Neodiprion lecontei: one gene and its partners. The protein of the gene in region 3 interacts with the protein of the main gene of each other region in a pairwise test. Links are inferred from orthologs where the notes say so. Each region holds a gene or a part of one and is shown on either strand. Other genes may lie near its edges.

Evidence for each region.
Region 1: the proteins of cysteine protease ATG4B (region 3) and gamma-aminobutyric acid receptor-associated protein interact in binary tests that used the Caenorhabditis elegans proteins (3 or more experiments, as listed by UniProt). The link is inferred for Neodiprion lecontei from reciprocal best matches to the Caenorhabditis elegans genes atg-4.1 and lgg-1.
Region 2: the proteins of cysteine protease ATG4B (region 3) and microtubule-associated proteins 1A/1B light chain 3A interact in binary tests that used the Caenorhabditis elegans proteins (3 or more experiments, as listed by UniProt). The link is inferred for Neodiprion lecontei from reciprocal best matches to the Caenorhabditis elegans genes atg-4.1 and lgg-2.

What each region holds. Positions count from the first base shown.
Region 1 is NC_060263.1:16,256,871-16,260,477, forward strand, and holds gamma-aminobutyric acid receptor-associated protein, read left to right. Parts: upstream 1-770; 5' UTR 771-899; coding exon 900-989; intron 990-2,370; coding exon 2,371-2,568; intron 2,569-2,709; coding exon 2,710-2,775; 3' UTR 2,776-2,996; downstream 2,997-3,607. Other genes in the region: 60S ribosomal protein L22, read left to right, coding at 76-223. UniProt on the Caenorhabditis elegans protein: Ubiquitin-like modifier involved in the formation of autophagosomal vacuoles (autophagosomes). When lipidated mediates tethering between adjacent membranes and stimulates membrane fusion during autophagy. Recruits lipidated-lgg-2 to maturing autophagosomes.
Region 2 is NC_060264.1:31,140,183-31,143,940, forward strand, and holds the start of microtubule-associated proteins 1A/1B light chain 3A, read right to left. Parts: upstream 2,847-3,758; 5' UTR 2,361-2,846; coding exon 2,318-2,360; intron 2,027-2,317; coding exon 1,864-2,026; intron 1,621-1,863; coding exon 1,458-1,620; 3' UTR 1-1,457. UniProt on the Caenorhabditis elegans protein: Ubiquitin-like modifier involved in the formation of autophagosomal vacuoles (autophagosomes). When lipidated mediates tethering between adjacent membranes and stimulates membrane fusion. Less effective at promoting membrane fusion than lgg-1.
Region 3 is NC_060261.1:33,999,034-34,002,791, reverse strand, and holds the start of cysteine protease ATG4B, read left to right. Parts: upstream 1-1,402; 5' UTR 1,403-1,575; intron 1,576-1,827; 5' UTR 1,828-1,852; coding exon 1,853-1,955; intron 1,956-2,024; coding exon 2,025-2,195; intron 2,196-2,309; coding exon 2,310-2,487; intron 2,488-2,572; coding exon 2,573-2,652; intron 2,653-2,735; coding exon 2,736-2,887; intron 2,888-2,975; coding exon 2,976-3,054; intron 3,055-3,140; coding exon 3,141-3,295; intron 3,296-3,372; coding exon 3,373-3,544; intron 3,545-3,633; coding exon 3,634-3,701; 3' UTR 3,702-3,758. UniProt on the Caenorhabditis elegans protein: Cysteine protease required for autophagy. Cleaves the C-terminal amino acid of ATG8 family proteins lgg-1, to reveal a C-terminal glycine.

The DNA of each region.
Region 1 (3,607 bases), on a different chromosome or scaffold from region 3:
ATTATTTACCGCTCCTTAGACTGAACTCAGTTCAGATACCGATATTTGCACTAATTTGGAAACGTTTTTTTTCAGGTACTTGAAATACTTGACTAAGAAGTACCTTAAGAAGAATAAATTGCGTGACTGGCTTCGTGTCGTCTCAAAAGACAAGGATACCTATGAACTGAGGTACTTCCAGATAAACAGCCAAGAAGATGACGACGAGGATGATGCCGAATAAACGAAATTGTTTACATCTATTTGCGCTTATTGACGGTCTTTACCAACATCTGTACATAAATATTGTTCAAATAATAAATGCCGTTAATATGCAAGTCGACCTATAGCTTGTTCTGATATCCAAGAGACTCGTCTATCTTCCAACTGAATATCTGACCCGTTACATTGGCTAGCCAGTGATACCGGTGTGTTGAATTGAAATTAGCGAAACGTGGCTAAAATCATTTTCCATATTCATCGAATCTAGTTAAGCAGCGAATGGCGTTTCTACGTCTAAGTACAGAACGAGAATGTTGCAACGTCATTCGTCATCGCGTAACGGCGCAGTAATACATCCTTCGTTCCTTCATAACCTGAACGCTTTATAAACAGAGACCCATAAAGAATAGTGAAATTTATTCTAAATATAGTTGATATTTCATTTTCAGTTATGGTCTATTTACACTCACGTAAGATGAATAGGATTCTTATCGATTTCACGACTTGGGTGATGGAGGGGGAGGACTATTTTACTCCGCGCAGTAAAGTCGCAGTCCAGTCCGCGCGGCGTTCAGCGTTCAGTTGACGCACGGCAATTGTTGTGACAGTTAGTGGTCCAGTCGTAAAAGCAGTTTTAGTCGTCTCCATTCGAAATCTATCGGGAAAAGTATTTTTGTTTGTATCAATAAAATTGAAAAATGAAGTTTCAATACAAGGAGGAGCATCCATTCGAGAAAAGGAAGGCGGAGGGCGAGAAAATCAGGCGAAAATATCCTGACCGTGTTCCCGTAAGTTTCATGAAAGTAAATTTCTGTCTCAAGTGAAGAACCTGGTATCTACCTACATTGAGTTTCAACGTGTCTATACGTTACTTTCAATATAGTCAGCTGCTAACCAAGGAAAGACATTTGTCACCGTTACGTAAAAAGAAGTTGAGAACCCAACTACGGCAACGTAACTTGCGAGCCATAATGACGCGGATTTATTTTCCAACGATCGCGTCTACTCCTCACACTGACTACCGTCTGCTGGTTATTATATCTATTCTTTGTTGGGACGTCGCGTTTTGCTTGCCATTTATGCAATCCGGCTGATGCCAGATACACACGATGTCCAAGGTCGATGCCTTGGGTATACATTCGCTGAGATGCTATTCTGCGTCGTATTTTTGGAACAGTTAGCATTTTTCAGCGCCATTTCTCTTTGTTTTTTCTTACTCTCTCTAGTCTCTTCTAGTTTTTGAACAATATCTTTCAACCACCGCCGAATTCTTTGTGTAATACCAACTTTTCATTCTGAATATCTACTATCGATTACAGTGTTGAAATTACGCGCAATGTTGTATGCGGCACAATGCCTGCAGATTTCAGTTTCGTCGTTTTGTATTCATTGCCTCGCTTGCGACCTACGTAATTATTCCGATGCTTTTTTAGAGCAAAAAGAAAGTAGTAGAAAATGAAGAAAATTCGTGGAAAAGAGAGATAAAAATCAATTGCGTCATTTTCCAGAGCTCTGATAATATTGTTCCTCTTGCAGTTAACTAGAGAATATTATTCAATGCGTGGATAAACAATGCGATTTTTAACCACAATATTAATTCGTATGATCTCTGATAAGATAAAACGGGGCTTAGTACGAACATAATAACTGTGTATATTAAACTAGTTTCCTAATGGTGCAACTTAACATTCTAATATCCTGCTAGTAGTGCTTTCACGGAATATGTATAATTACGTTAGGTTTATGGAACCGTGCAATTTAGTGTATTTGCAGGCTGGTATAATAGTGTAATCCTTTGTGCCAAAAATCACTAACCGTGTGCAAATATGTCACATTTACCAGCTTGGATTTACTTTTTTCTACATTTATTTTTGTCTAAGTTTCCTGTATACATACCAAATATACTATTGCGCAAGCTTCGAACCCCGATGAATGTTTAAAACAACAAGCTGGTCATGCACTATTCACGTTAATTTTGTCTTGAAGTTATCTGCAATTGAACTATTCTTTCTGCCTATTACTTATTTATTCTTTGCGAGATTTTTCCTGACAAAGAGAGCCGTGAATGTTTTTTGTTGTTTTTGAACGAAATCGTAGATCAGACATTACTGTATAGCACTACGCGAATGCTAATTTTCTATACAGACATCTTCTGTTCGTTGGAACTAGGTTATCGTTGAGAAAGCTCCCAAGGCGAGAATCGGTGACCTTGATAAAAAGAAGTACCTTGTACCTTCCGACTTGACAGTCGGACAGTTTTACTTCCTGATTCGTAAGCGTATTCACCTGCGTCCCGAGGATGCCCTCTTCTTCTTTGTCAACAACGTCATTCCACCTACCAGTGCAACAATGGGGGCTCTCTACCAGGTAAATTGGCCGGCAAAACTCTAGATTTCAACTTTCAAATAAAGGCCTAAATCTTTTTTATTCAAACTTGCACTGTTATGCAATTTACTTACCATGTTGAGATGCATATATTATACTACATCGTACCATTTAAATTTTTAGGAGCACCATGAAGAGGATTTCTTTCTCTACATAGCGTACAGCGATGAGAATGTCTATGGAAATTAGAGGGAATTAATAGTAAACCCACCTACTGCTACAAGTTTATGGATGCAATTTGATTTAAATTAAACAATTGAAACTTACCATCTTTGACTTAGTCTACATTTGTAGAGGCTTTAAAGAAGAGGTTTAGAAAAAAAGAAACCATATGCAATGAAAAAAAAAAAAAATTAGCAAAAAGTATGATGATGAGAATCGTATTGTATTTCTGTATCAACTGATTAAAAGTGACCAGAGAATCTAAATACTTTGTAATTGATTTGTGTAAATTTTATTATATTTTAGTAATTTTTTCTGTCTAAGTTTCATTTTGTACAATTTTTTTGTCACTTGTGTATGAAGTCATGTTAACCGTTAGCTGGGACACCAGGATACGAGATGACCCCACCCAATTTAGTTCCGATTTTAGCCTTGGCATCTTCTACTCTTAGTTTGAGGCAAAAGTGCATCATGACTTTTACTAAACTATATCGTTTCAATTTTCAAAATAAACACCTTTTTATCAGCAACGACTATCAAATGATTTATTTAGTTCAAACAGTATACCTTAAGTGTATTGGATAAAACTTTAAAATTTTTTTGGAATTACACATTTTTTTCTCAAAATGACCCGTACTATCGTTTGAAAGATGGATTGAAAACTCTCTGGTCATTTCTGCTAATTAAAATAACCAATTGTTTACTCATGATATGCATTGTAGTGGTTGGGGTCTTTAACGCCTCCAGTGTGCTAACTGTGTTATTCTGGTAATGTGTGCCAGCTATGGATTAAAAATCATCGAAACGAAGTTATGCAAATTTTTGTTCAAATAGTAAATAGTTGAAGCTCCTGAATGAA
Region 2 (3,758 bases), on a different chromosome or scaffold from region 3:
ACAAAAATAGCAAATACGAAACACTTCGTTTCGATTGGTTTATGAAGATCTTACGAACAAATGAATTTTGATATTACTAAGAAAAACTATCAGCCTCAAAAAAATTAATAATTATAATATGAGAAAAACTTACAATCTTCTAATTACTAAAAAATACTTGTACGAACATATTGCAAAATCTGTTAACTTTAGAATATTTTGTTGCCATTTTCCTCAACTAACTACTAACGTACAAAATACTATTACCGCTACTTAATACATTTTATCTGTAAATATATTCCAATATTATCATAAAGGAGATTATTTGTTTAGATTCTACTGTAACATTTCTTGAATAAGGATAAGATTGTTACAAAACAATTATTTTTCAGCAGGCAATTTGAGGAACTATCACGATATAATTATACATGTGCGAGTGTAGTTAATACAAATTAATAAGTAACAATAGGATATGACGCTTAAACAAAAACGGTTAATAAAGAAATCTCAATGTCAACATTCAGGCTCAAATAAAAATATGATATTTCGTAGTATTTTTTCATCAAGTATTTGAGCTGTTTCACACTAGTAGTTCGACTTGTTATAACATTATAGTGATTGACGTGATAATTAAACTTTCAGTACAATGAATGGGTACAATAAAACGATAATTAAGTCAAGAATAATCAACTACTAGGATTATCAGCTCTCTTTTTACTGGAGGTATATAATTTGTTTACTTTCCTTTTTATTCTTTAATTCAGTTTGCATTTAACATGTCCCTCATGTATTCTCAAACTTATTCTCACACAACACGCAACAGCCTAATCACAGTTGCAATAAGTTCAACAGTATTTATCACCCGTCGTTCGATATTTTTGTATAAAATAATTAAATCTGAAATAGCAATAAGTCGGTTTTCAGTATTAGACATTTGTAACGCATGCATGTATAGAAAAGACAGAGGCATCCTCTGATTCATGTATCCTAATGTAAATGAAATACAATAAAAAAACGACAGTAAATATTACAGGTAAAGTGTCCTTGAAATTTACTCAACAACAACAATGCAGTGAATTGATTTTATTAATTTTTATATCACTTTAACAACAGATATAGGATAATATTTCAAGAAAATGTTATTTCAAATAGAAAACCCAGCTTTCTATACACTGTATTATAATTCGATAAAATTACTGATATTTATTTGAATATAATTTACATCGCTGTTTGCATGTATTTGATACCATTAAAAGTCAGTAAATACAAGTAAAAGTAAGATATGTGTAACAATTCATCCTCCTTTTGGATATTAGTCATCTTTAATGTTCACGCAGCAGTTTTTGGCACTAGCTATGAATTCTTTGCAACACACAGAGCATAAGTACGCCAAGTTCTTTAATTTCATATTATATAGGTAATTCTTACAATTTGTGTATAATCACCGAAGACTCACCTAGAATCACACCAGTCGCAATTTAGCAACCAAATACTTCTTGGCTAGCGAAAACAATGTAAAGAAAACCATCGGCGTCTTTTTCGTGCTGATAGAGCTGCGCCATTGTCAAGCTTCCACTAGCCATGCTTCTTTGATTAATCAACAGAAAAAATGCTTGGGTCGGATGAAGGTGTAGCCTGCGCCTATTTCCAAGCATGACAAAACAGAGTTTTTATGTCATTTGATTTACTAAACTACTGCAACATGTTCAGAAAATTGTTTCGCACAAAGTAGATATAAAAGAAAATTTCTGGCGACCTATCTCAGAGAGAGATAATAAAGAAGTGGATTAATTCGAAATAATTGAATGAGGTACAATTTAGTAAGAACACTAAAAAAAAAATAATAAAAATGAAACATGATTCCTTTGTGAAATTGCGACTCACCTAATAATTTTTATAAGCTCGGCTACAGTCAGGTGATCAGGTACTAAAAATTTGAATTTATCCATAATTGGCAATTGTTTTTCTCCGGCGAACCTTTCGACAATTATCGGAATCTTATTTGGATGTTGTTGCCTAATTAATTCAACCTCAGCGACACGCTGCACTGTAAATAGTCAAAGTAAAGTTGAAAATAGTGAACAAGAAGTATTATAGGTGGTTTTCGATTTGTTTATTTATATAATAAAAATGGTTTTAGCTCTCTCAAGGATTAAAAAGAAACATCTTATCGCATATTATTTTCATTGTTATGATTACGGTTATCATTATTATTATTATTTTTGTTTGTTTCCATAATTATACGTGCAGAATAGCGAAATTAATAGCCTTATACGCATTAAGCAGTAGATTAAATAACCTAAATTTGATGTTATCATTTATTCATTTATTTACTTACCGAACGGACGCGTTTCTTTAAACGATTTTGATGAGGACTTCATTTTCTCACGGTTATTGAGCTTTGCTTTATGGTATTGGGTACTGGAACTGCGACTCAATTCCTTGTATTTCTCGTGCGTAGATGTAAATATCTGTACGAACTACAATTTGCGCGTTCAAGTCGCACGCATTAACTAGCGTATTACTCAAAAGTAAGTATCTTGTCAATGCGACGTTACCGATTCTCGTGGGAAAAATAAAATGCTAATGATTGGTAGGCTGATCGAAATGTCAACACGATCAATTTTGACCAATGCACTCGGAGTTATGATACATACGTATGTAAATATTTATTTAGTGATTATTGCGACGATTCCAGCTCCACTCGTTGTAATAGTGTTGATATATCAAACTAACGATTATCTGCGCTATCGTGTGCGATCATCAACTATTCTTTTGTTTTGATTAGCTGCTTGGCGTCTTTTTGCTGTACTTCTTCTTGAATCCTCGCTTCCTAACGGACTTTTTTGTCTCCTCTCCCCTACTGCTGGGCAGCAAACAACACGCCACGAAGTAAATAAATTGATAAGATCGAAAGACCGTGCTATAAGTTTCGCCTCGGATATTCTACAAACGGAGACAGAATACGTTTGCTCTTCTTGTCGCACTGATGCTTGAACCAATTTGGAATACCTAAGCCTTGTGACGCCGACGTCAGTTGCACGCCGTTAGTACGAAAATTGTACGGACAAGGTTTTTGCATTTACAACCATGCTTCATGTTTATCGCGTCTCTCTTACTTCTAAATCCACTGCTATGGTTGCAAAATTTGTGCAAAAGCTTAAAGCATTTCTTAGTTTAGTCATATTCGTTAATAAATTCTCACTGGCTTACTATTTTTTTGGAATAAAAACTGTAAGGAGTTTCCTTTCTAATCAAATTTCATATGCCAGTGACTAGCGACGTAAGTAACAGAAAGAGGCAAACTACTCGAAATAAACGATGCGTTGAACTAAGACACGTAAAATTTCTATAGAAAGAACACTCGTTTTACTTTTCATGACAAAAAAATAGTCAGTCAGCGTAAACCCATTAATGAACATTACTGTTCAGGAAAGTGCATGAATGCCCTAACCTCCGGACTGACTTACTTTCGGTCCGAAACAGAATGCTACTTTGATTTATTATCTCACGTTATCTGCATGTTACGTTGTTTGTATCGTCACACAAAGTGAACTCGCATTTTGTTTTAGACCGAAAACAAATTATCCGTATAGGTAAGGCATTTATGCATTTTACTGTACATAGTATATTACGAGAAACCATCAAAATGTACAGCTACACTGTATACGTAGATGCTAACCTGCGCGTATAGTTAACAACATTTGCGGCAAGATGGCGCCGTGAGCGGAGAAGAGACCGAATAGCGGGTTCGTGCGACGTTCTGCAATCGCATTAGT
Region 3 (3,758 bases):
CCCTGTTACTTTTATGAGACACAGGTGAATTTACATGTTGATTTTATAACTGGAGGTCAATGCTTTGGGAATTGGTATAAATTAGTTCAAATGGTTTCATATTAACACATTACAATAATGCTAACGTGAACTTTTTTGGTCAACTAAAAATGGGCATTGATAAACAGAAGATTTTTTGAAGAAATAATAACAAACCTATTTTTATCCTTAAACTGCAATTCCATATTTCAATCGTAGTGGAAACCATGCATAGCTTTGGCCTGCTGTTATAAGTTATTACTTGATAACGTTCCACGTATCATTAGTATATATATATATATATATATTATATATACGATATATGTATGTATGATCTAAATAGATATTTGATATTAATAGAGAGAGCGTAAGTTCTCACGAATCTTAAACAAAAAAGCAACTATTGATTCTATTTATTATAACGATGATAATTGATAAGTATCAGTATGATTATTATTATGATAAAAATAAATTATGTAAATAAAACTTTCCTGATATTACAGGTATACATGGTATGGTATTATTTATTGAAGTTTTCAAATTTTCCTTTATGTAAATTTTAACTGTTGCAAGCTTGAGAAACCTTTGGGCTCAATTTATTCATTTTAGGTGTGAAAATGTAAAGCTGTGTCGTCAAGAAGTAATATTGACTTTAGTACTGAGTGTATCAAGAAGAAATCTGCTGAAACTCTGACAAAAAAAAAAAGGAACTTCCAATTTAGGAATTAATTTTTCTTTATATTGACTCCGTAGCATTCAGACTCTTGACTCGGTAATTGCATTGGTTCATATTTGTGTAACACTGTTGCGATTATAGTTGATTTGTGCCATAAATCTAGCCTTACGATGGAGCTGTGATTGCATATTGTTGATGTCAAGTTGCGTTGCAAATCGTCAAATAATATCTTACGTCGTTTTCTGATCAGTAGCTTTGTGTTACACCATACACCGGGCTTTACCAAATATGTTTGTCGGAGGGTACTAGAAAGCCTAAGCTCGTTTTTCATGTTCTCGATTTCGGGAACTTACTATGTAGCAAAAACCGACAAACGATTTTCAAAAAAATCAGCTCATTCGGGTTTTAATGAGGGTCTAAGTAAGTATACAGAGCTCTCACAATAGCATTACTTCGTGTGAGCTCTTTAAGGAAGCTACTCATATGGAAGTATGTAGGACCGTGGGCACACCGTGGGTATGTGAAAAACGCGAGTGTGGCTTCCTCAAGCTGGATTTTCACTAGCAGCGAAATCAAGCGAAATGCCGCCGCAACTTAGCAGCATTCTGTTACCAGTAAAAATTCAGACTCAAGCTCGATCTCTGCTGCATCAGAGAGACAAAAAACGAGAGAGAGAGAGAAGCTTGACGTATGTGTGTGTGTATGTATGTATGCATATTCACATACAGCTGATACCTGTCACCAGAGTTGAACAATGTTTATAGTTCTGAGTCCTTAGTCAGAGCTTCTATCGTGAGTGTTCAAACTGTTATCAAGAAAGGTTTACATGATTAGACAACCGTTTATACGATGACGAATGTTTTCAGCTTTATTAAATACAGGTAAATCAAAACACATGAGAATCATGGAACGCTATTGCGTGTTGTATATGCGAAGACAATAGATCGCTGTTTAACATCGCTTACCATAACCTACATTGACCCTATCTATTGGTCACCATTTATTTATACTGAATGTATAAAATGACCTGTAACATGTAGGATAATGTAGTTAAGCGAATTCTCACATTGCTGATTCATCCCAACTTGCCCCAATTTTTGTATTAACAATACATTCGAAAATTCCAATCCAAGGTTGTTGTAAACAAAGGTGATCGAAATGGACAGCTTGTTTACGCAAAACTTATCTGATGAACCTGATGATGTTCCACATACTCAAGACCCTGTATGGATCCTCGGAAAAAAATACAATGCCATAAAAGGTTACCAATCAGTTTTAATGATTAAGTATCAGTTGATTGATCTGTATAATAACTGTAAAATCATTTCAGAACTTGATGCTATTCGGCGTGATATAAAGTCCAAATTATGGTTCACTTATCGTAAGGGTTTCGTGCCTATTGGAGGTTCTAGCTCCAGTTTTACATCTGACAAGGGATGGGGCTGCATGCTAAGATGCGGACAGATGGTTTTAGGACAGGCATTAGTTTGTTTACATTTAGGTATTTTTATTTGCCATTTAATTCCTCTAACTTAACTTTATATAGCTAAACTATTTAAAATGATTTTCTTTGTACCACTTTCTCATTTGGAGTATTGTTGTTGAATTAAATCAGGAAGAGATTGGCTCTGGACCCCTGAAACTAAAGACAGCACGTATCTAAAAATATTGAATAGATTTGAAGATCGTAGAGCTGCTCCTTTTTCTATTCATCAAATTGCTGTGATGGGGGCATCCGAAGGTAAAGAAGTTGGCCAGTGGTTTGGACCTAATACAATAGCACAGGTTTTAAAGTATGTATGAGTAATTATGAATAAACTTTTTTGAAATCTCAATGTTGTTATTAGAAAACTAAGTAATTGAGATTTTTTATTTTAGGAAGCTCGTTGTCTATGACGACTGGAGTTCGATAACGATACATGTAGCCCTAGATAACACAATAATTGTTAATGACATTAGTAAGTTAAATATAATGGAATTGAAGCTCTGAGCTGTTATCAAGTAGTACGTAATTATTCATACGTGGAAATGATCATTTCAGTGAGACAGTGTAAAATAGAAGGTGGAACAACTGTAGAAGTAGATGGTAAAATGCCTTTGAAAGCACCTAGTGAATGGAAACCATTATTGTTAATCGTTCCTCTAAGACTTGGCCTGAGTGAGATTAATCCAGTGTATGTTAATGGCCTTAAGGTATTATCATGCTTTATTGAAAATATAATCCGTATCCAAAGAAAAGATAAGTGACAAATTTCAGAGCAATTTAATATTCTTATTGCAGACTTCTTTCCAAATCGAACAATCCCTTGGTGTTATTGGTGGTAAACCAAATTTGGCTCTGTATTTCATTGGCTGCGTTGGTAAATTTTTATGAGTGTTGTAATTACAACGGTAAAATTTTCTCAAGATGTTTGTATATTCACTATTTAATTTCTTTATGATTCAGGTGATGAAGTTATTTTCCTTGATCCACATACGACACAGAGATCTGGTTCTGTCGACCAAAAATCTGAGGAAGGCGAGATGGAAACAGACACAACTTATCACTGTAGATCCGCTAGCCGCATTCCTATAACTGGAATAGATCCTTCGGTTGCTCTGGTAAGTAGTAAATTAGAAAAAAAAAGTTGACAATAAGCTATCTACATTACGTTAATACTGATATTAATGTATTACAGTGCTTCTTCTGTGCAACAGAGGAAGACTTCAAATCGTTATGCAAATCGATACAGGATGAGTTGATTAATCCAGAGAAACAACCACTATTTGAATTATGCTCAGAAAAACCTGCCGATTGGTCTCCAGTGGATGATTACACAGCTGAAGCAGCAGGGGCTGCAGCTTCAGGGAGTATGTTGAATGAAATTTATTCACAGTGATTGCATAGAAGTTGATGTAGGTGAACTTTAATAACCAAGTTTCACTTACGATTTTTCCAGTACTGGAATTTGAAAATCTTGACCGTCAATACGATGCTTCGGACGAAGAGTTTGAATTTCTTGGTTAAGCAGAATTGCACTATTCTACAAATGCTTAATTGAGAAGGGAGTATAAATATCGCACA